Rhinolophus ferrumequinum: one gene and its partners. The protein of the gene in region 1 interacts with the protein of each later gene in a pairwise test. Links are inferred from orthologs where the notes say so. Each region holds a gene or a part of one and is shown in the gene's direction. Other genes may lie near its edges.

Region 1 (7,782 bases):
CGCCCCCTTCCTGCTTGTATCCGCGGGGTGTTCTTAAAGGGGTAGAGGCTGCTGCTCTACCGGAGCGGGGGCGGGGGCGGGGGCGGGGTGGAGGTGTCCCTGGATCAGTCTGTTTACGAGTCAGCGCCTCACCGCTGGTGCGACTCACCGCTCCCGTGTAAGCTTTTTCCTGCCCATCTGCGAAATGGGGATGAACACCCCAATCAACGCACTCTCCCCTTGGGGGCTGTTGGGAGGACAGTACTAAATGGTATTTCTTTAAGGAGATCAGGCCTGACGGTCAGGGCGGCTCTGGAGCTGCTGGATAATCTACCTTGAAGCCCTAGCTAGTTATGGATGAGGACCTGAGGCGCCTAAGGGCACACGGTACCCCTTCTCCCCTGTGTGGTCTGTCTAATCTCCGGGAACTTGCCTGACGCATACAGGAGGAGCTCAATAATGGCTAGGTGAGCTACTGAGCGAGCAGGGCCGCTGGGGGTAGTTACTCCTCCCTGTACCTTGTGCCAGAGAGTGATAAAGTGCCCATGGTCCCTGGAGAAGGTGGCTGCCTCGATTAGATGGGTTATTATGGATCTTGTTTTGAAAGGAGGGGCAATTATTCTTCCCTGGCTCTATTTTTTTTCCAGCAGTTACCACCATCCAGAATAATCTTGTTTGTTCTTTTGCTTCTTCTCCTTTCTTCCCAACTCTGCTCCTACCTAAAAGGAATTTTGCTTGATTTGTTCCCCACACACACACCTCCTTGAATGATGCCTAGCACCTATGGGAGTTCAGTAAATGAACTAATAATTGAATAAATGAATGAAACTGGCTTTGGAGGTAGCTAACACTGGAGGAGGTAACTAGTTTTTGGAGGGAACTAACTTGTTAGATCAGTGCTCGGAGGTCATCTCCTACAGGAAGACCTCCCAGACCTCCCCAAGGCAAGGCCAGGTGCCCCAATTGGCTGTTCCTAGACCCATGAACCTCCACTTCATAACTCACTGACTTTTATCCGTGCCATTACTTGCCTTACCTCTGCCCACTAGTCTAGGAGACCCTCAAAGTCTGTAACGGGTCCGTTGTTTCTCACTGTTTCAGTCCTGAGGCCTGCACAGTGCAGAGCACAAAAGGTGGAGGGTGGGAGGACTTGGGGAAATCATTGTGGAAGGAAGGAAGCAGGCTCATCAGCCAAAACAAATGGGAAAGCAGTGAGGATATATGAGGAATTGCCTAGGAAGAATATCAAACCCTGGGTCAATCCCAGTTCTGAGGGACTTGGACTATTACCTGTTCATCTCTGATCTTCAATGTCTTTATCTGCACCCATTCAGCCTTACCTCTTTCATGGGCTAGAGGAATTGTAATAAAAGATACTATACATAAACAACTAAAATAAATATAAACTAATAACATCAACAATTATAACAATAATATCGTGTTTCCCCGAAAATAAGACCTAGCCGGACCATCAGTTCTAATGCGTCTTTTGGAGCAAAAATTAATATAAGCTCCGGTCTTATATAATATTACGTAAGACCCAGTATTACATTATAGTATAGTATAGTATTATATATTATATATCTTATATTACATAAGACTGGGTCTTATAGTAAAATAAGACCGAATCTTACACTAAATTTTGCTCCAAAAGACGCATTAGAGCTGATTGTCCAGCTAGGTCTTTTCAGGGAAACACGGTGACAGCTGAGACTCCGGTGTCACAGGTGTAGGCAAAAACTGTGTATTTAATCCTCCCATCAGCCTTATGAGACAAATACTCTGATATTTGGAATCCACATCATTGGCTACGTACAGAGTTGCAATCGTTACATCTTCCTGGTGAACAGAACTTGTGATTGTTGTGACATGCCCCTCTTTATCTCCATGCTTCTGGCTTTTGAGTGGACTTTGATATTAAGATTGCACACCTATTCTCTTGGTTTATCTTTTAAAGTTTCCATTCTTTTCCACCCCTTATCTTCCACCTTTCGGTACCCTTATGTTGTATATGTGCCTCTTGTAAGCAGAATAGAATCAGGTTTTGTTTTTTGATCCATCCTGCCCATCTTTATCTTTTAATTGGGGCATTTGGTCTCCACATTTAATGTAATTACACACATATTTGGACTTAAATCTGCCCTCTCGTGTTTTTTCTCTGTAATACCTTCTCTATGCTCCTTTTCTCTCTCTTGCCTTCTTTAGAATTCGATGTATGTATTTTGGTAAGACTCTTATTATCCTTATTCTGCAGATGGGGAAATTGAGGCACAGAGAAGTTAATTAACTTGTTCAAGGTCACAGTGATGAAGGGCACAGTGGGCCTGGTATCTTACCCCATTGAGCTTCTATTCCAGCCAGGGAGCTGGATACTGCATAAACAATAATGCAGATAAGTATCTAACTGCAGCTATGATGAATGCTATGTAAGAAATAAAATTGGAAAAAGTGGCAGAGAAAGGTTTCCAGTGCCCAGACTTAGGCCTCCCCCACCACCAATGTCCCCATCACTGGGGCAACTGAGCAGTCACATCATTTCCCACCCTCTCCCTCAAACACACAAAGGAGGAAAATATTTTTCTTGTCTCTACTCCACTGTGCACAAAACATTTGGGGCCAGCCAAGTCCCTTTTGGCCTCAATGTGCAGCCCCCACCTCTTCCGGGACCCTCGTAAATGTTTCCTGGCCTCTAACAGAGCCCAAGGGACCCATTGAAAAGCTTGATTTCTTCAGCCTGGGCCTCTTCTGCTGCAGCCTGCAGACAGAGTCATGGTTCCACTTTCCCCAGCAGCCCCCACCAGTGCTCCCCTCTCAGCACTGGCTGCTACCTGGCTCACTGAGCTCTACAGTTCTTAAAAAGATCAAGTCCAGACTAAATGTTTTCCCACCACCCTGTCTTTGCTCCTGTGATTCCCTCAGCCTTGAATGAAAGTCAGCACCTAGAAAACTCCTAATCCTACCTCAAAACCCCATCCAGACATACTTTCTTCTTTGCCCTTAAAAGGAGTTCTCATACCCCCACTCTTAAGGTTCCTCCAGCTTTGAGTCTCTCCTCCCTCTAACCCAGCAGTGTTCCACTCAGGGTTGGGAGTGTCTGAGTCAGACTCTGTCTCCCTCCATCCTTCAGGGCTAGGCAGGGACTGAGTACTCTCTGGATTCCCAGAATATGGGCCAAATCCAGAGGGGGTGGCTAGAGGGTTACTGACAAGTTTTTTAGACTTTTGAACTAAGTGTTTAAGAGTCCTGGTCTGTATTAACTTTTCAGTGAATTAAGGCAGCAAAACATGCGGGTAATAATACAGTTTACCAAGGGCTTACAGTGGGCCAAGACGTGTAAAGAACTCACCTGCCTGATTTCATAAGGTTAAGCCACTTGCCCAAAGCCATCCAGCTAAGATGTGACAGAACTGGAATTAGAACTCAGATATATCCAATTCCAGAGCTCTTAAAGAGTCTTTCATGTGCCCCAGAGCATGGTATGTGTTTATCTCCCAAGCTTTCAAGAACCTTAAAAGGCAACTGTGGTGATCACCCAGGCTCACAGTTAACAAACTGAGACCCAGAAAAATTAGACGTATAACATACACACATTATAAGACCTCCATAACTAATGATAATGAATTGCTAATATTTATTAAGCAATTACTATTTTGTAATTGCCCCGTTTTGTTTATGGTTTTCAGTATATAGCCAAGGTGACAGATGTAGGAGTAAATATAGATGTGTGTATGCATAGGTTAGTAGACATACTATGTATTTGCTAACTCTGACAGCTGAGAGCGTGGTTAAGCAATGAGCACACCCAGCACCCAGACCTTGGTTTTTAAATACCATTCTCCAAGAACAGGAACCAGTGTCCTTGGAGAAACTGCTGATTCCAAGGATATGCCAAAGCAAACATGGAAAATCTTGTGCCAAAAGTAAGAAAGTACTTACTTTCTTACTTTCTTAGAGAAAGATGGAAGACATATTAAAGAACGTAGGTGATTCACTTAAAGGGGCAGCAAGATAAATAACAGAATAAAATTCTCATGAGTTCAGAGCAATATAAATGTGAATAAATACATAATTGGAGAGTGGACAGCTCTTGTTTAGCATAAATTCCAATTAATAATTAAATTAATAAATAGAAAAAAGTAAAAATTGTTGACAAGAGCCATGAATGGATGCTAAAACTTGTGGGTGTCAACTGCTTTTTAAAATGTTAAAAAAAAAAAAGTATTTGCATTGTCTCTTAAGTAGCTCCCCATAAGATACTTATTAATTAGAAAGGTGAAAACAGTGACTTCGTAGTTGAGAAACCGTCAAGACGCTGTCTTAAGCAAGTCGTCAGTCAACATCGCATGCCTCAATATAACGCATTGAGGACACAGCATCGCTTCTATGGGATTCCTGCCCAAATTCCTTAACTGCAGTCTAATCCGGAGGAAACACTGGATTAAACCCATATTGATGGGTTTTCTACAAAACCAGAAATCTTCAGAAGTATTAAGGTCATGAAAGAGTAGGAAAAGACTGAGGAACTGTCACAGAGTGGAGGAGGCTAAGGAGATGTAATTAAATGCAACGTGGGATCCTGGATGGTAATGGACCAGAAAAAAGTCAGCAACAGCAGAACACGGATTCCTGAACCCGGTGAATTTGATTCCCAGCCTGGAAAGCTCGGGCTTTGGAAGCGACGTAGGCGAGAGAGTGACTGCTTGATTGGCTTTGTGTTGTGACGCACAAGCGAAGAGACTAAACCCTCCCCCTTCCTGCCGCGCCTCCACGCACGCAAATCGGCCCTGGGCACGTCGCCGCCACGTGCGCATGGTGCGTGGTGACATCAGGGCGGCGCGGGCGCCATCCCGGAAGCGCGAGCAAGGCCGCCAGATGTGCAGGTGCCGCTGCCGCCGACGCCGGGGCCGAGTTTGGGGTGGGGCTGGGGCTGCCGGGGCCGCCGGGGAGCCGGGCCGGTTCGAGCGCGGCCCTGGGGCTGTCGTGGGGTGGGGCGCGCTTTTGGCCACATCTGGGCACCCCTCCTGCGCACAGGCCTCAGTTTCCCTGTCTGCTCAGTTGATCCAGGTCCAGGGTGCGGGAGTTGGGGCCGCCTGTGTCACCTAGAACCGGGCGTTGCCCTGGTTGGGCTTCAGTTTCTGCGCTTGGCAGGGGCGGGGTGTGAGGGGATATGCGAACCTCGCTCCCACTCCAGGGTTTTGCTAAGCTTGGGCCACCAAATTGAATTGTTAAATGCCCTGGGTGGAATCGCGTTGCCTCTCCGCCTGGCCGTTTTACCTTGGGCAATTGAGCCGGCCCCTGTGAGCCTTAGTTCTCCTCCGAGATGAGAGTGTTTGCCTCATAGGCGTGGTTGGGGATTAAATTTGCTCATGTTCTTGGAAACACCTTAGAGGGTCTCGTCAAAATGCTGATTCCCGCGCCCCAACTTAAAACGTCTTCAACACTCACCTTGGAGAAACAGCCTGCTCGGAATTAAGCTTATCACCGTTGGTTTCAGTCCCCACAAACAGGACTGTGAGATTGTTATTCCCATTTTCTGGATGAGAAAACTGGTTCAGAAAGGTGAGGTGACTCTCCCAAAGTCACACAGCCTCCCTCTCAGCGTGTTTCCCTCATAAAAAGAACAGATACCAGAGCGCTTGCTGGGTTATTTCCACCCTTACGTGGTCCACAATAGCTGTTAGGGAAGGCTTTCCTCAGAGAAGGAGCTGGCAGTGGAAGGATGTGCCTTGAATCTCACATATGGGAGCCAGAGACAGGAAAGAACCCAACTTTGAAGCAGAACCGTTTCCTGCAGGTCCAAATCTTGTGCCTGCCAGGCTTTAGTTGTGGGCTTCCCACCAAGGGACTGCCCTTTGAGCCCAAGTAGCCTCTTTATACGTGATCACACTTTTTTGGAAATGTGGAGACTGTGAATGTCTGTACCTGGCACATAGGAGCTCAAAAAATAGTACTAATTGGCAGGGCGAGAGGATTTCACCAGGTGTGGCAGCTTATTTCCAGAAGGCATGTAGGGGCTGCAAAGCACTAAGCCAAATTCATGGCATAAATACTCTTGGCCCCATGGTGTTTGGGGGAAAAGAGGGTTATTTGCTAAAATTTGCAAATGAGGTGATTTCACGGGGGAGGGGGGGATGCACATTTCTGGGTATTTTTCCTGGAAGCAATCAGAAGTCTGGCAGGAAGCAGCTGCTGTAAGAAGCAGCTGTGCTATCATGGGTGGATACTGAACATCTGTACAGGGTCACACCTTTGTGGATCCTGCGGACCGTGGATATTTGTGACTCAGGTTCACTGGCTACGTGACGATAGCTCAGTGCCTCAGTCTCTGAGCTTGTTTTCTCACATACAAATAAGGGTAACAGTTCCTATGTATAAAGTTGGTACCTTGTTTAGCTTACAGTAGGTGCTAAATAAAGAGGAGGGTGGATTAAGTGGGCTCTGAAAGCCCTTACTGATCCTGTGTGTGAATCTTAACCAATGGCAAGTGGGCCTTTCTGTCGGCCATTAAATATGTGGGCTCCAGAACCAAGCTATGTCAGGATTCTGGGTTTTTCCTGAAGCTCCCCACCAGTAGGGTCAGCGCTAAAGCTGTGGCCTTTCTTGCCCTGGCCTGATCCAGGAAGCCCAACCCACTGGGACGGTCATCTACATGCTAGGGAAGCTGAGAGCCCCACAGCTCTCTGGGTTGCTGAGGTCCACAGACTGGCTGCAAGTGCCTGAAATTCTTGGCTTTATTTGCTGTTAAAAGTTCAGCATTACAGCTGAGTTTGAAAGTCCTGTTTGCCTCTGACAAAGGAAGTTCTGGTGATTCCTTGCTGTGAGCCAGGTTCTGGGCTGGGCTCTGGAGACAGCAGTGAGCGAGGGAGACACATGCCTGTACTCTTTTGGAGCTGGCAGTGCTGTGGGGGTGACAGGCAAACAGGTCAACTGTTAACTAAGGGAATTTCAGGCAGAGGTGAGCCAGGGAAGCAACTAAAACAAGGTGATGAGAACGACCAAGGTAGGGATAGTCCTCACGGATCTCACGAGGTGAGGGTGATCCGACGGCACAGTGGTGCATGTTCCGCCGGGGGGACAGTAGGCTCTGAGCTGGGAATGGGCAAAGGCAAGGGGGTGTGGGAGGAGGTGGGCAGCTAGATCTGTGCAGGTGGACGGTGCCAGTGGCCCTGGGCATATGAAGAATGGGTGCTGGGGAGGGGAGATGGGATTCCGATGTGCTGGGGTGCAAGTTATAAATGTGACCTTCTGGAGTTCTCGAAATACCCCTGAATTCCTGGGATGACAAAGCTGAGGCTGAGGTGGCATGACCGACCCACTTCCAGGCAGCCTGTGGGGTTCCCGGCCCCTCCTGTCCAACCCCCCACCCACCCATGTGCCTGGTGCAGACTGCAGATTTTCTTCCCGTTTCAGGCAGCGGCGGAGGAGGAAGACATGGACCCCCCGGCCTCGGCCTCGAGGGTCTTCTGCAGCCGCATCCTGAGCATGGTGAATGTGGATGACGTCAATGCCATCATCCTGGCCCAGAAGAACATGTGAGTGGTGGCCAAGCAGCCTGGGCTCCAGGCGTGGGAAGGAATCCACTTGCCAGCCAGCATTGTTGCCCAGCCCGCCCCCTCACTGGTGATAAAATGAAGGAAATGAGCAAATTTGCTGGCCAGCTCCTAAGTAAATTCCTTCCTGGCCTGGAGGCGAGCCCTTGGCATAGGAAGCAGGGCTTTGAGATGGTTTCACAGCTGCAGAAGGCTTGGGGGGGCGGGGGAGGGTAGAGATGCATCAGCTCCTGTCCCAAGGCCTGGGGTGAGG
Region 2 (7,258 bases), on another chromosome or scaffold:
GGGATTGCATCAGTTAAAAAATTGGTCTAAAATAATATTTAGGCAAAAATCCAATCGCATTCATTTAGCAAATATTTGCTGAGTATCTACTCTGATATAAGGCCCACAAGAGGCACATGTAAAATACAAGTAAATAGGGATTTACTTTCCAAAAGTTGGTCATCTGATAGAGGTGATAAGACATGTCAAAATTTCTTCCTATTAAATACCAAATGTTGATTTAGAGTATATATGTTCCAAGAACTGTCTAAGTGAATTCTATACCTTAAATCATTTAATTCTCACAACCCTATGAGATTGCCCCCCCCATTTTACAGATGAGAAAACTGAGACAAAAGGTTATAAAAATAATCAAGGTCATATGGTTATTAAGTAGCAGTGGCAGGGTTCAAACCCAGACCATCACCTCCAAAATATAAGCTTTTTAGTCACTATTCTATCTTGATTCTCTTAAAATAAAATAAAAAGTAAAAAATAATATAAGTATGTGTTTACTAGAGAAAAAATGGAATTTTCAGAAAAGCAAGAGAACATAAATCCTGAAATTCCGACTCCCTAACACAAGAGCTATTTAATATGAAAATACTACTTTCTAAAAACTTGAATTGTGATTGTACTGGGGGTGACAAAAAAATGTATACAAGTGGACACTTTGGTCAATGTTGCTCAAGCAGTAGTTCGCCATAATCAGAAGTGTCTGGATGCTGATGGTAACCACTTTGAGCACCTCTTGTAATTGCAGAAGTCAAACGTGGCTTGTATTCACCTTTTGTTATCAGTATATATTGAGTATTACAATGTTAATAGTTTTTTTCCTTTCTTAAAATGTGTATACATTTTTTTGGTACCCTCTGTATGTTGTAAGAAGGATATAAAGGTCTATAGAGGAAGGAAAGAGGATTTCTGGCTGGATCTTAAAGGACAGGGTGTGATGAGGATGTTGGGTCATTCCAGCCAGAAAGAATTTCAAGAACAGGAGCAATGATTCAAGGAGGTCCAGGGTTTATTATGGAAATAGGAAGGAGTTGTTTGGCTGGAGCACAGCCTTGAGCAATGAAGCTAGAAAACCAGAAAACTAAAGGCCAAGTCAGAAAGAGCACTGAGTCACTTTGTCTTTCATCTTATCAGCACTGGTAATACTGCACTGATTACCACTTTTCTCTCTCTCTCTCTCTTTTATTGGGGAAGGGGAACAGTGTGTTTTTTCCAGGACTTTGTTGGGCAACAGTGTGTTTTCCCCAGGACCCATCAGCTCCAAGTCAAGTTGTCCTTCAATCTAGTTGTGGAGGGCACAGCTCAGCTCCAAGTCCAGTCGCCATCTTCAATCTAGTTGGGGTGGGAGGGGCCAGCCCACCATCCCATGCTGAAGTCGAACCGGTAACCCTGTTGCTCAGAGCTTGCAATCTAACCAACTGAGCCATCCGGCCACGCCGGATTACCACTTATTTCTGTATCAATCTCCTCTATTAGACTGGGATTTCCAGTCTACATGTCCATTCATTCAATGAGTAGTTTCTGTGTACCAAGCACTGTGCTGAGCATTAGATTAAATGAACAATCTATATCTCTGCCACTAAAGGAATTCACAATCTAGTGGGAAGAAAATGTAAGATAGTTCTGATGGAAATATGAACAGTGTGGGTTTTTGTCACTTGCTACCAAAAACACCTAGCTAAAGCAGACTATTACCAACAAATCTGGCCATGGTCTCCCTTTCTATATGTCCACACTCCCACCATATAGAAGCCAGATCATAGGGAGAAAACAAAAGAGGTTCTTAAAAAAATAAAATCACTGTTATCAAATGAGGACTCTGTTAGGATCGACCAGATACAACTAAGTGGTGGGGGCCGGCCCGGTGGCTCAGGCGGTTAAAGCTCCATGCTCCTAACTCCGAAGGCCGCCGGTTTGATTCCCACAAGGGCCAGTGGGCTCTCAAACACAAGGTTGCCAGTTTGATTCCTCGAGTCCCGCAAGGGATGGTGGGCAGTGCCCCTGCAACTAAGATTGAACACAGCACCTTGAGCTGAGCTGCCACTGAGCTCCCGGATGGCTCAGTTGGTTAGAGCGTGTCCTCTCAACCACAGGGTTGCCAGTTTGATTCCTCAAGTCCCACAAGGGATGGTGGGCTGCGCCCTCTGCAACTAGTAATGGCAACTGGATCTGGAGCTGAGCTGCGCCCTCCACAACTAAGACTGAAAGGACAACAACTTGACTTGGAAAAAGTCCTGGAAGTACACACCGTTCCCCCAATAAAGTCCTGTTCCCCTTCCCCAATAAAATCTTCAAAAAAAAGAAAAGAAAAAACTAAGTGGCAAGTAAGACAATGACTGAAAAATGCCCATTGGATTTAGAAACTAAGACAGTGGAGATCTTGGTGAGAAAAGATTTTGTGGGAGGGTGGGCAGGGTGCAGAATCTGGATGATGGGTGCTGAGGAATAAAGGGATGGTGATGTCATGGAGACACTGAATAAAGACTGTTATTGTACCAGAACCCCTTTCTGAGTTGTTGGATGGTTCTTTGGGAGGGTCTGAGGTAACTTTAAAGTGAGATAAAAATAAATTTGTTTCAAATGGCCAATAAGCACATGAAAAGATTCTCAAAATCAACCAACAGGGAAATGCAAATCGAAATTACAATGAGATACCACTTCACACTCACTAGGGTGGCTGTAATAAAAAAGACAAATAGCAAACGTTATTGAGGTTGTGGAAACATTAGAACCCTCAGATATTTGCCAGTGGGAATATAAAATGGTGCAGCTGATTTGGAAAATAGTCTGACAGTTCCTCAAAAAGTTAAACATATAGTTACCATATGACTGTGGGGGAAGAAAAAATAATTTTCCTCCTACCTTTCTAAGTTCTTTTGGCAGGACTAATAATCGAATTAACATGAGACAGAGTAACAGAAGAAAATGACCAAATTTATTACGTATGTATATATATGAGGGCTCCCTAAGCATGTAGGACCAGAGTACAGATGGACACTTAAGGCTTATATACCATCTTGAGCTAAGGAGAAGAGAGGATTATAGTTGGGACTTCCAATGATATGAAGACAATTCACATGGAGATGAAAAAGCAAAAGTTTGGTAAATAAATGTTTCCTGGGTCATTTTAAACAATGGGACACAAAGAAAACTTTGATCAAAAGGCCTTGCTAGGTTCCTTCCTGTCTATCACACTTGATTCATATTAAATTATCGTTACGTATGATAATAGTTCCCATTTGGAGCAGGTTTTCTATCTAAATTCTTTTAGGCAATTAGGGGGAAGATTAAAGTTCTCTCAGAGTCTTTTATTTCTTGAAAATAACCAGCTTAAAATAGTATCCTAAACGGCATATTTTGGGGTGGTAACGTCTACTTCTCCTCATGACCAACCGGTACAGAAATATTCATAGCAGCATTATTCATAACAGGTAAAAAGTGGAAACAACAGAATGTCCATCAACAGATGAATGGATAAAATAAGGTATAATATATTCAAACAATGGAATATTACTCATCCATAAAGAGGCATGAAATACTGGTATATGCTACAATACAACATGGATGAATCTTGAAAACATCAAGTTAGGTGAAAGAAGCCAGTCACAAAAGACCATATATTGTACAGTTCCATTTATAGGAAACGGCCAGAGTAGGCAAATGCACATAAAAAGGTAGACCAGTTATTGCCAGGGGTTGGGAGGAGGGAGGAATGGCGAATGACTGCTAACGGGTACTGGTTTCTTTTGGGAGTGATGAAAATATTCTAGAATTAAAGAGTGGTGATGGTTGCACAACTCTGTGAACATACTAAAAAAACACAACACTGGAGCATTTTTTTAAAAGTGTGACCTCTATGCTATATGAAATATATGTCAATTTAAAATTACATTTTCACAATTGCAGCATTCATAGACGCTCCATGCTATCCAGGGAATGTAAACCAAAAGCAACAAATACAAGGCCAGCCACTCCCCCTCACAACCCGCACCCCACATACCCCCAAACCCCCATCCCCCCCACGCATACCCCCACCCCGTCCAGGGCCGCAACACTACCATCCCTGTGGGAGAAGCAAGGCCCGGATTGAGGGCTGTGACTGGGAGAGGTGATGACTGGGTGAGCTCTAAAAGAGGGCGGGGTGAAAAGGGGCGCGTCCAGTCCCTGTCGGCGAGGGGCGGGGCAGAGCGAAGCCTTCTCTCGCGAGATTATGCTGGTTCCGCATTTGAGATCTCTTAGGTGGGGGAGGCCGGCGAGGTGGGCGCAGCATCTTGCACCGGCTTATACCGGCTCGACCCCGGCTCGGAGCAGCAGAGGCCAGTGCTTCTGCTGTCGGCGGGCTGAGGACTGTGGGCTCCGTCCCGGTTTCCGCGCCGGCTCCGAATCCTGACCGCGGCGGGGGCCAGCGGCCCCTCCCGTCCCCTCTGAGGATAGAAGATGAGCTTCCTCTTGTGAGTGCGGCTCGGCTGAGGGGTCTAGACCTGAGTGCCGAGGGCGGGTAAGGGGGAAGAGCAGGGTCTGAGGCGAGGGCCGGACCCGGCGTGGCCGGCGCTTGCTTTGCCCCGGCTGGGGGCCACTGGGCAGGCCAGGACGTGGGCCGAGGCTGACGGTCGAGGCAAAGGAAGTGGAGCGAGAAGGCTGGGGAGCAGAAAGGCCCCGAAGCCGGTAGGGCCTCCAAACTTTTCCGCCTGAACGCCCCTGAGGTCGGAAGGACGATCTGGGGGCGGAGCCCCAGGCCCTACCGCAGGCTCCCCATTTCTCTAGGCTGGTGTCTTTTCTAGTAGCGATTCTTTGCTGACTTAGCTTTTTACTCCACCGTTTGTCCAGCTTTATTAACGTCAGTATTAAATGAACCCAGCGGGAAAATGCCGCCCCAGGAAAACGTGGAGTGCTGCAGTTTGAGAAGCATTGCTCTAACACCTTATTCTCAAGCGGCTCCCTCTACGTAGTATATTGCTTAAATATGTGTTGTATGGTTGGATAAATATCCATTTTAAAAAAGTTACGGACATCACCCACATACGTGACATTTTTATTAAACTTTATTAAGTTACATATTTTTTCATAACTAGAATTTATCTACATAGTTCCTTATTGTGAGAAATTTGGATTCTTTCGCTATTATAAAAGAGCACTACTGGAAATATCTTTGTCCAAATCGTTTATCCCCTCCTTTTGATTATTTTTTAAGGGTATAGGCTCCAAAGTATGTCAGAAAGTCTGTATGATTTAGATTTTAATTACAAATTTCTATATTACTACAGCAGTCCCCCAAGTCTTATGAGTTAATGTTTAGTTAGTGGTTTGTTTGTGGACGCACAGTTGCTTGGTTGCTCATTAGACCTAAATGTAAGGCTGTTTGTTTGTTTTAAACCTTGTTTTGTTGATGGACAGTTGAGTTTCCACTTTTGGCTTTTATGAATAATGATGCTATGAACTTTTGTGTACTACAGATTTTTGTATTGGATGTATGTGTTCGTTTCTATTAGCCATATACCTAGAAGTGGAATTGCTGAGTTACATGGTAACTATGTTTATTTAACCTTTTGAGGAACTGCCAAACTTTTTCAAATCACTGCACCATTTTGCATCCCACCGACACTGTTTGAGTTTCATTTTCCCAGCACCCTAGCTAGCATTTGTTAGTTGTCTTTTGGATTATAATCATCCTAGATGGTTGTGAAATGGTATCTCATTGTGATTTTAATTTACGGTTCCCTAACGACTGAGAAGGTTGAACAGCTTTGGGTGCTTATTGGCCATTTGTAAATTTTTTTTTGGAGTAATGTCTTCAAATCTTTTGACCATTTTTATTTTTAATTATAGTTGACAACCTTGGATCATTTTTAAATTGGGTTGTTTGTCTTTTTGTTTTTGAGTTGTAAGAATTCTTTATCCTGGATACAAGTCCCTTATAACATCTATGATTTGCAAATATATTTTCCTATTTTGTGGATTGTTTTCACTGTCTTTTTATTTATTTACTTTTTGGTTTTTCTTTTTTTGTTTTGTTTTCACTGTCTTGATAGTGCCATTTGAAGCACAAAATTCTTAATTTAGATGAAGATCATATTGAATCATAAGCCATCATTCTGTTAGTTTTCCATATGTAGCTTCCTGTCATTCACAGCTTTCTATTTGTGAAGGGTCATTCCTTCTAATTTAGTACTTCCCTATTAAATGTAGGTATTTAGCATGTTAAGAATTTTCCATGTTTGATTTTTACTGTTTTTGTTATTCCTTTTTACTTCTTAATCAGCCTTATTTAAAATTCAAATTACTCGGGTAAAGTGAAAGCCCACAGTTTTTGTTCCCTTACCCCTTCTTAGAAGTAATCACTGTATCTATTCTTTTTTTTTGTTTTAATTTTTTTAAATTTTTATTGGGGAATGTTGGGGAACTGTGTGTTTCTCCAGGGCCCATCAGCTTCCAGTCAAGTCGTTGTCCTTCAGTCTAGTTGTGGAGGGCGCAGGTCAGCTTCAAGTCCAGTCGCTGTTTTCGATCTTAGTTGCAGGGGACGCTCGCTGCCCACCATCCCATGCGGGAATTGCTCACCATCCAATGTGGGAATCGAACTGGCAACCTTGTAGTTAAGAGCTCACGCTCTAACCATCTGAGCCATCTGGCCGCCCCTAGGTGTATCGATTCTGACACTTGCAATGCATTTACAAAATGGGTTCTTGCTATACATTTGGATTTGTGTTTAACCATATCTTGAGATCTTTCCATGTGCATAGATGTAGTTCTATCTTGTTCTTGTATCTTGTTCTTAACTACTATATAGTACTCTATGATACAGATGTATCATGGACATATCATAGTTTTATTCATTCTTCTAATAAACCTTAGGATTGTTTCCAGGTTTTTTACCATTAAAAGCAATCTTGAAAAACGCATCCTTGTTTATATCTTAAGATACCTAGAAGTGGAAGGGACAGATTGAGGAGCATTTCAGTGTTAACATATACTGCCATATTGCCCTCCCCCAAACACCTAACACTTTCACCAATAGTGTATTAAAGTACGAATTTCTCTATAACACATTTAATTAGGTGGTTTTAATTTTTGACACTCAGATTAAGGAAAAATAAATCTTACTTTAATTAAACAGCCTTTCAGATGTTCGTTGCTCAATGTTATTTTTCCTTCTTAATTGCTTGTTCATCTCCTTAACCTGTTTTCCTAAAGGGTTCCTTACCTTTTTCTTAACAGATTATATTTTTATTATTCAGCCCATTGTTATCCAGTTTATTCTTTGTAATAT
Region 3 (6,986 bases), on another chromosome or scaffold:
GAAGACAGCCCCCACTTCTCCCTTGGCACGTGCTTCCCAGGGCTCCTACCCCAACACGGTGCTCACCATGGGCTGGCCCCCCCACAGTGACCTCTGCTACAGTCAGGCTGTCGTGGGCAGAGAGGAGGATGTGAGGGAAAGGGGTGCGTTTGCTGAGACTGGCTCAGTTTCAGGGCTGTAGGAGAGTCAGGGATCAGCAGCCTCTTCCCTGTCTGAAGCCAGAGGCCACAGGAGACACGTGGACATGGGGCTGGGCCATGATGCAGGCAGGCAGTCGGCTGGAGTGAGGGTGGAAACCCCTAGAAGTCCAGAAGCTGTGGGGGACAGGAGCACTCAGCCTCACAGGTGCCAGCCATGGCCAAGCCCTGCTCCTGGGAGGGTGGCACAGGGACAGACCCATGAAATCGCCCCTCCCCTGCCCACCTACCAGCTGAGGCAGCACCTTCTCCAGCTGTTCCACATCCACACGGGCCAGGTCCTCTGCCTGGGCCTGCCGGACACTGCGGATGGCCGCTTCTGCAGTGAAAAGAGAAGCAAGAGGTGCAGAAGGCTGGGGGGCTTGAACCCCAATGCCCCTGGGCCTCAGCCCCAGCTGCCTCCCTGCCCCTGCTGGCTGGCAGCTCAGGAGTCCAAGGTTGTGGCCCCTGAAACATGGAGCTTTCCAGGGACACAGAGCCTAAAGGGTAATGTGGGAAAATGCGTCACTTGGTTTCTCCACTGGAAAATGCAGACGGGACGAGCAGTCTGGGCAAGGTGGGGTCCTTCAGCTCACCCGAGACGAAGATCTTCAACAACTCTGCCATGAGCAGCAGTGCATCTCCGCCAACTGCAAGGTGGAGAGGCGCAGGTCACAGGGCTGCACCCTGCTGTCAACCTGCCCAGGGGCTGCAGGCTCCCCCACACCCCCACTTCTGACCTGGGTCCTCCTCGTCCCCGGTGGCCCACACAGAGCTGGCAGCCCCACCCCGAGCCCCGCTTCCAGCATCCCCATACTTACACACCTTTGGTTTTGTCATCTTTAAAATGCAGGTGCAGCAGTTTGCTCACAAGTTCCTGGGGGGACCAGCGGGATGTCAGTGGCTCACTGCCCCCCCCCAAATGCTGCAGACCCCTTAGGCTTTTCGTTCCGGGTGGGAAGGGGTTGTAATTTGTGGCCTGAAATGCCCTGTCCTCTGGGTGGGGGACTGGACGGTGGGAGAAACCTCCCTGTGGATGCCTCCAGGACCAGAAATTAGACACATGTGGCAGGCAGGTGGGAGCAGCCCAGGTGCCAGCCTGTCCCTCTCCTGGAATCCAGGAGAGAGTGGTGTTCCCTCCCCGGGGCCAAAGCACTCCCTGTGAGGGGCAGGAGGTGGCTGTTCCCATGCTGGGCCCCTCCACAGGTCTGTCCATGCCCAACACCATACAGCTTGCGCCAGACCTGGTTCAGGTGCCGGGTCAGTTCCATCTGCAGTCCCTCCCTGGAGAGGTGAAGGAAGGAGTCTTCCTATGAGATGAGTGCTCTGGGGACCACAGCACTGGGCAGAGACCTGGCTGTTTGGTCAGTGGGCGGTGGGCATGGAGAACAGAGCCCGGGGGGATCTGCAGGGCTTCCTGACAGACATGAATAGGACATGGGCAGGTCCAGGCCAAGACTCCACAAGGCAGGGGCTTGAGTCCCCAAAAGATGGGGCCACTCCACAAACATGGGGGCTGTGGGTGGAGATGGGTTCTGGGGACCAGGGACTCCGGAGCTCAACTTAGGACACGTGTGAGTGAAGGACATGCTTCAGATGCCCAAGCAAAGCAGCCCGGTGGGTGGCTGGAGCCGAGGGGCCTTCCAGAAGGTTGGAGCTGACGACGAAGATTTGGGAGGTGGCAGCATGTGGATGGACCATGAAAGGCTTCCCAGGGCAGGAGCCAGCAGAGCGCCTGGGGAGGCAGGAGGACAGCAGCAGCGGCGACCAGGAGCTCAGAAACAAAATGGACTGTTCTGCAGGGAAGGTGAGCTGGGGATTGGCCAGGCCTCCCCGTAGCCACGGGAGGTCACACGGCTTCGCCTGTGCAGCTGAGCAAAGCTCAGGAGCAGAGTGGAGTGGACACCGGTGTGGCCCAGGCTCAGAAGGATAAACTTACCACGTCACTAGGGGAAGACACAGGCCTGGCCGTCCCAGCAGTGGCTGCGTGAGCTTGGTGCCACCTGCTGGTCCTTCTTGCCACTTACCAGGAATGGCTCAGAAGGCTCTACTGCCCCACCTGCTCCCAGACTCCCAGGAAGCGCTAACTAAAGGGGTCAGTACCAACTGGGAGTGGCAATTTCCAAACAAACAAGTGACATGAACTCAGCAGGATGGGAACTGGGATGAGTTCAGCTTCTGTCCCACTGCACGTTGGCACCACTGCCCCTCCCTCCATCACCCTCATCCACAATGAGCACAGCTCTGGCCAGAGCCTGTGGCGCCAGGACTGCAGAGCTGTCCACGTCGGCCTGATGAAGGCCAAGCCCTGTGCTCCCCTCTCCAGCTGTTACAAGGTGTGTGTGTGTGTGGGGGGGAGGTGTCTCACAGCCACCATGGTGGATCACCCAGCCTCAATGACATCCCCTTTTAGGTGATTAACCCCTTCTGGGCCAGGGCTGAGCCACGATCCTGGGTGATAAAGAGGGGACTGAGGCAGCAGGTGAACCCGAAAGCAGTCCCCATGCCTCTGCAAGGCTGAAGTCCCCACTGGGGTCAGGAGGGACACAGGTGCTGAGAGCCTCCTTCCCTCCCCAGCTCACAAAGGTCCACAGGCCCTCCGCGCACACCTTCCTGATTCAAGGACTCAGTGCCACCTACCTTTAGGATAGAGCAACAAAGCCAGATTCATAAACTAGTCGCAGCCTCAGGCGTGGGAGCCAGTGGACATGCTACGCACCCAGTGCGGCACTCCCCACAGGCCTGCTTCGTTTCTCCCCGGGTAAGTGGGGATAGTACTACCTTCTCCTAGGGGTGGTAAGCGTTAAATGGGCTAATCTATGTCAGTGCACGTAACAGTGCATGACTGCGCCAGGGTGTTACTAAAAGGACTTGTAGCCCCCTCCCCCCCCACGCCAGACCGAACCTAGATAAACGTGCTGCCCCGAAACGCAGCTTCAGCTGGGCTTTAACTTGGCTCAGGTGAGACACACAGCACAGGGCTCGAGTGACGGGGCAGACCAAAGGAAGCTTTAGGCTATGCGGGTATGTGGCAGTGTCAGCGCGCTGGGCGGAACGGTGCCCTACGCCAAGCGGTTTAGGGAAAAGAAAAGCCCCGCCGGATCCGCGGCAGCGGGGCGTGGCCGGCAGGCTCAGGCTCCTCTCTGAGGTCCCCTGCATTTCCGCCGTCGCGGCGCCCACCTCTGCCCGCCCAGTTTCTGCAGACCCGCTCCCTCTTGCCCCAGACCACTCGACCTTCTGCCACCGGGCCGCGGGACTCCACCCCGGAGGGCGAAGGACGCGCGGGGTGGGGTCGTGGCTGGATTCTGGGAATGGGCTCGCCCTAGAAGGCACTCGCACGCAGCGCCGGGGCTGGCCCAAGGCCTACACGTGTGTCACGCGTGGGGTCCCGCCGCAGTGTCCCCACCACCATCATCCGCCCCCGCATCGTCCCCTTTCTCACTTTCCGGAAGCCAGAGCTGGTTGCCTCCATGACCCGCGCCGCGTCGCGCGCCCTCCGCAGCCCCGGTCCCCCGCCAATGAGCCCTGAGCGCGCCTTTCCAGCCCCGCCCCCGATCCTCCAGCCAATCACCCCGGAGCGCGCCCTCCGAAGCCCCACCCCTATTCCCCCCATCCAATGGGCCGTGAGAGCGCTGCCTTGGCTCCACCGGCTGGAGGCCCGCAACGCGTGCCCGTTCCTCGCCCTCATTAGCCCGCGGCGAGCGCCCCTCCTCCGCAAAGTCTCCTGGGAGTTGTAGTTTCTGCCAGCCTTTCCCGGCGTTCCCTGCTCTTCCTGGTTACTGAGGCGCCGCGGCGGGCACCGCCGCCGGGAGCAGGGGCCGGTGGCGCGACTACTGGGGGCGCGAGGGTACGCGCGATGCCTGGACCGGCCCCGTCGCGGGAGGCCCTAGCCCCGAGGGATCTCCGTTCCCGCGTCGGCCCCATGCTCGGGCGGTCCTCTGGCCATCCTTGCACTCCTGGGGCCGCCCGCGTGTAGAAACAACTCAGTTTGTTCTTCGTTCCTCGGCTGCCGAGGTCGGACCTGGGGTCGTTGAGCCCCACATTGAGCTGCTCGGAGTCCCTGTCTGCCCCCAGGGGAGAAGCCCTGCCCTACTGCCAGCAGGAGAGCAGTCCCGCAGCGGGGCCAGCAGTCCCCTTCCCCCAGCTTCGGCTTCCCGCGTCGCTGGCTGCTGCCACACGGTGAGGTCTGGCTCTAGGAGCGTGCTGAGGCAGCCCTGCTGGCACCCCAGGGACATGGAGGAAATCCGGCGCTCCTACAGCCGGCTGTGCAAGGAGAGTGGGGCCGAGCCCCAGGAGACTGTCCTTCAGCGCCTGCACGAGGTGCCGCGGGGCCGGCTGGACCTGGCCACGCAGAGCCTGACAGCTGACACCTGCGGGGCCCTGGGCAAGCTGCTGCAGAAGGAGGCTTTTGTGACTGAGCTCGTCCTGAGCGACTGCATGCTGAGCGAAGAAGGTGGGCACCATGGGCGGCTGGGGCCGGGCAGCCCTGGCAACCTCATAGCCGGCTTGGGTTCAAGCCCTTTGCCTCAGGGCAGCCTTCCCTGGCTTTGTCTGCCCCCTGCTCCACTGCTGCACCATTGCATCTACCTCTTTGGGCGGACTCCCCCCTCCCCCTTGTGCTCTATAGTTAAGGCAAGCAGCAGGGTCCCTTGAAACCTGGGAGCAGAGAGCAGTTTCTCTTTGTAAAAGAGAAGCCTTAGCATCCCGCCTTAGGAGAGTCACAGTGTGCTCTGGCCACCAGGGACAGAGAGTGACTGCTCTGCCCCTCACAGGGGCCATACTGCTGCTCCAGGGGCTGTGCGCCAACACTGTCCTTCAGTTTCTGGATCTAAAGGTGAGGTGACTGCCTTTGGACATGCCACCTGAGGGGAGGGAGGCCATGGGGTGTGGGCAGTGGCCAGAGACACCGTTTGTAAGTACTGTTGGCACACAGGGTTCCGTGCCGTTTCCTGGTGGTCTCGTGAATGTGTGGGGGTTTGGAGGGTGGGAATATGAGTTCCAGAGTGTCCCCGTAAGCACACTGACCGAGCCCACAGCAGGAGTGCAGTCAGGGAAGGAAGCGTCTGAAAGGAGCCAGACCTTCTGGCCAGAGTTTATGCTTGGCCTCAACCCCGCCTGCAGGGCCTGTCGGAGTACACGCGCCCGAGCCTGGCCAGGACAATGTGCCTGCTCTGTCTCTTCCTGTCCTAGGGCAATAACCTCAGGGCTGCAGGGGCCGAGGCTCTAGGAAGACTCCTCCGACAGAACAAGTCCATTCAGAGGTAAGGTGGCGTTGGCCCCACCCGCCCCCAAACCCCTCTTTCTCTGCAGGTTCAGGCTTGGCCCCAGAGGACAGGGTTCTGCAACCCAAGAGTTCATTCCTTCACTCCTTCCGGCCAGTTGTCTGTTTCCCATCTGTCCATCTGCAGGGAGTGGACGGGTACAAGATACTCACGGGACTCAAGGCTTCCTGCCGGAGACCCCAGGCCTGCGTCCCTCCTCAAGCCCCCTGGACCCTGTGGGAGCAGGGCACTCCTGGGGCCACGCAGCTCATGTCCACCCTTCCCACAGCCTCACCCTGGAGTGGAACAACTTGGGCACGTGGGAAGATGCCTTCGCCACCTTCTGCGGCGCCCTGGCGGCCAACAGCACCCTGCGGCAGCTGGACCTACGCAACAACCAGATTAGTCACAAGGGTGCAGAGGAACTGGCCCTGGCCCTGAAGAGCAACACCAGCCTCCAGCAGCTGGGTGAGGCCCGGCAGACCACTGTCTGGCTTCCCAAAGCAAGGGGTGGCGAAGCGGGTGGGGAGAACCAGGCTGGCTCCTGCTCTTTGGGCGATTCCCCCAGGGAAGCTTTTGGGCTGGGCCCGCACCCCAGGTGCCTTCCGTCTGGTGATAACAGGTATCTCTTCCAGACTTGCGCTGGAATAACATCGGCCTCCTGGGTGGCCGTGCCCTGGTGAGCTCTCTGCCGAGCAACAGAACCCTGTGGAGGCTGGAGCTGGCTGGGAACAACGTCCCCAGTGATGTCCTCAGAGCCGTGGGTAGGGGCATGCATAAAGCCGGAGGCCCAGGCTCCAGGGGGCATGCAGACGCATCCTGAAGGCAGCCTAAATTAGAAACAGAGGAAGAGGGAGGGTGAGAGCTCGCAGAAGGAGAGGTGGCAGCGGGCTGGCACGGCACTCACTGTCTGTTCTTAAATCCACCAAGGTGGGGTGGGGCAGGGTCACCCATTTCACAGATGAGGAAGCTGAGGCAATGTGGCTTGGGGCCTTGCCCTGATGGCTGTGCTGCTGCCTCAAGTGGCATCTGCCCTCATCACACTTGAGTTTGTGGCTGTGCCCAAGAGCCATGTGGGAATGGGGCCACCAGGTCCAGGCCACAGCCTGCACGGTCCCCTCCTGTCCATGACCTGGACACCTCAACCCCAGTCCCAGCAAAACACTCTGCCACTCCCTGTGGTTCCTCATCCTGCCCACAGCACCAGCGACCCAAGGGCCCAAGCTTTGGCTGGAATTCTGCGCAGGTCACCACCTCCCTTTGGGTCTACCCGACCTGTGTCATCTCCAGCTTCTCCATTCTTGGCCTACCTCTGGGTCACCCCCGCTGTTGTAATAGTGTGACTCCACAGCAGCCTCTGGCTGGTCCCTCTCCAAATGCTGCCTGTTAAAAGTCATACAGCCACCTTTGACCTTTGGGAGGGAGCCCAAGTGCTCCTCTCCATGTGCATGCCCCCTGCACCTGGTGCCTCCCAGGTTCCTGGCCCCACTGTCGCCCCCACCCCACCGCCACTGAAGGCTTTCATCCCTAGTGCACTAGGGGTCTACCA

What was found.
Region 2: the proteins of KXD1 (region 1) and MOB1A interact in binary tests that used the Homo sapiens proteins (3 or more experiments, as listed by UniProt). The two-hybrid records come from large-scale screens. The link is inferred for Rhinolophus ferrumequinum from reciprocal best matches to the Homo sapiens genes KXD1 and MOB1A.
Region 3: the proteins of KXD1 (region 1) and LRRC45 interact in binary tests that used the Homo sapiens proteins (3 or more experiments, as listed by UniProt). The two-hybrid records come from large-scale screens. The link is inferred for Rhinolophus ferrumequinum from reciprocal best matches to the Homo sapiens genes KXD1 and LRRC45.

Annotation. Positions count from the first base shown.
Region 1 is NC_046301.1:51,278,766-51,286,547, forward strand, and holds the start of KXD1 (kxDL motif-containing protein 1), read left to right. Parts: upstream 1-4,736; 5' UTR 4,737-4,859; intron 4,860-4,871; exon of another isoform or gene 4,872-4,894; intron 4,895-5,008; exon of another isoform or gene 5,009-5,538; intron 5,539-7,389; 5' UTR 7,390-7,410; coding exon 7,411-7,511; intron 7,512-7,782.
Region 2 is NC_046296.1:17,799,061-17,806,318, forward strand, and holds the start of MOB1A (MOB kinase activator 1A), read left to right. Parts: upstream 1-4,194; 5' UTR 4,195-4,431; coding exon 4,432-4,445; intron 4,446-7,258. UniProt on the Homo sapiens protein: Activator of LATS1/2 in the Hippo signaling pathway which plays a pivotal role in organ size control and tumor suppression by restricting proliferation and promoting apoptosis.
Region 3 is NC_046304.1:54,767,989-54,774,974, forward strand, and holds the start of LRRC45 (leucine-rich repeat-containing protein 45), read left to right. Parts: upstream 1-3,921; 5' UTR 3,922-4,409; coding exon 4,410-4,629; intron 4,630-4,948; coding exon 4,949-5,010; intron 5,011-5,366; coding exon 5,367-5,437; intron 5,438-5,726; coding exon 5,727-5,905; intron 5,906-6,072; coding exon 6,073-6,201; intron 6,202-6,986. Other genes in the region: CENPX (centromere protein X), read right to left, coding at 300-314, 428-516, 773-826, 1,002-1,053, 3,619-3,864. UniProt on the Homo sapiens protein: Component of the proteinaceous fiber-like linker between two centrioles, required for centrosome cohesion.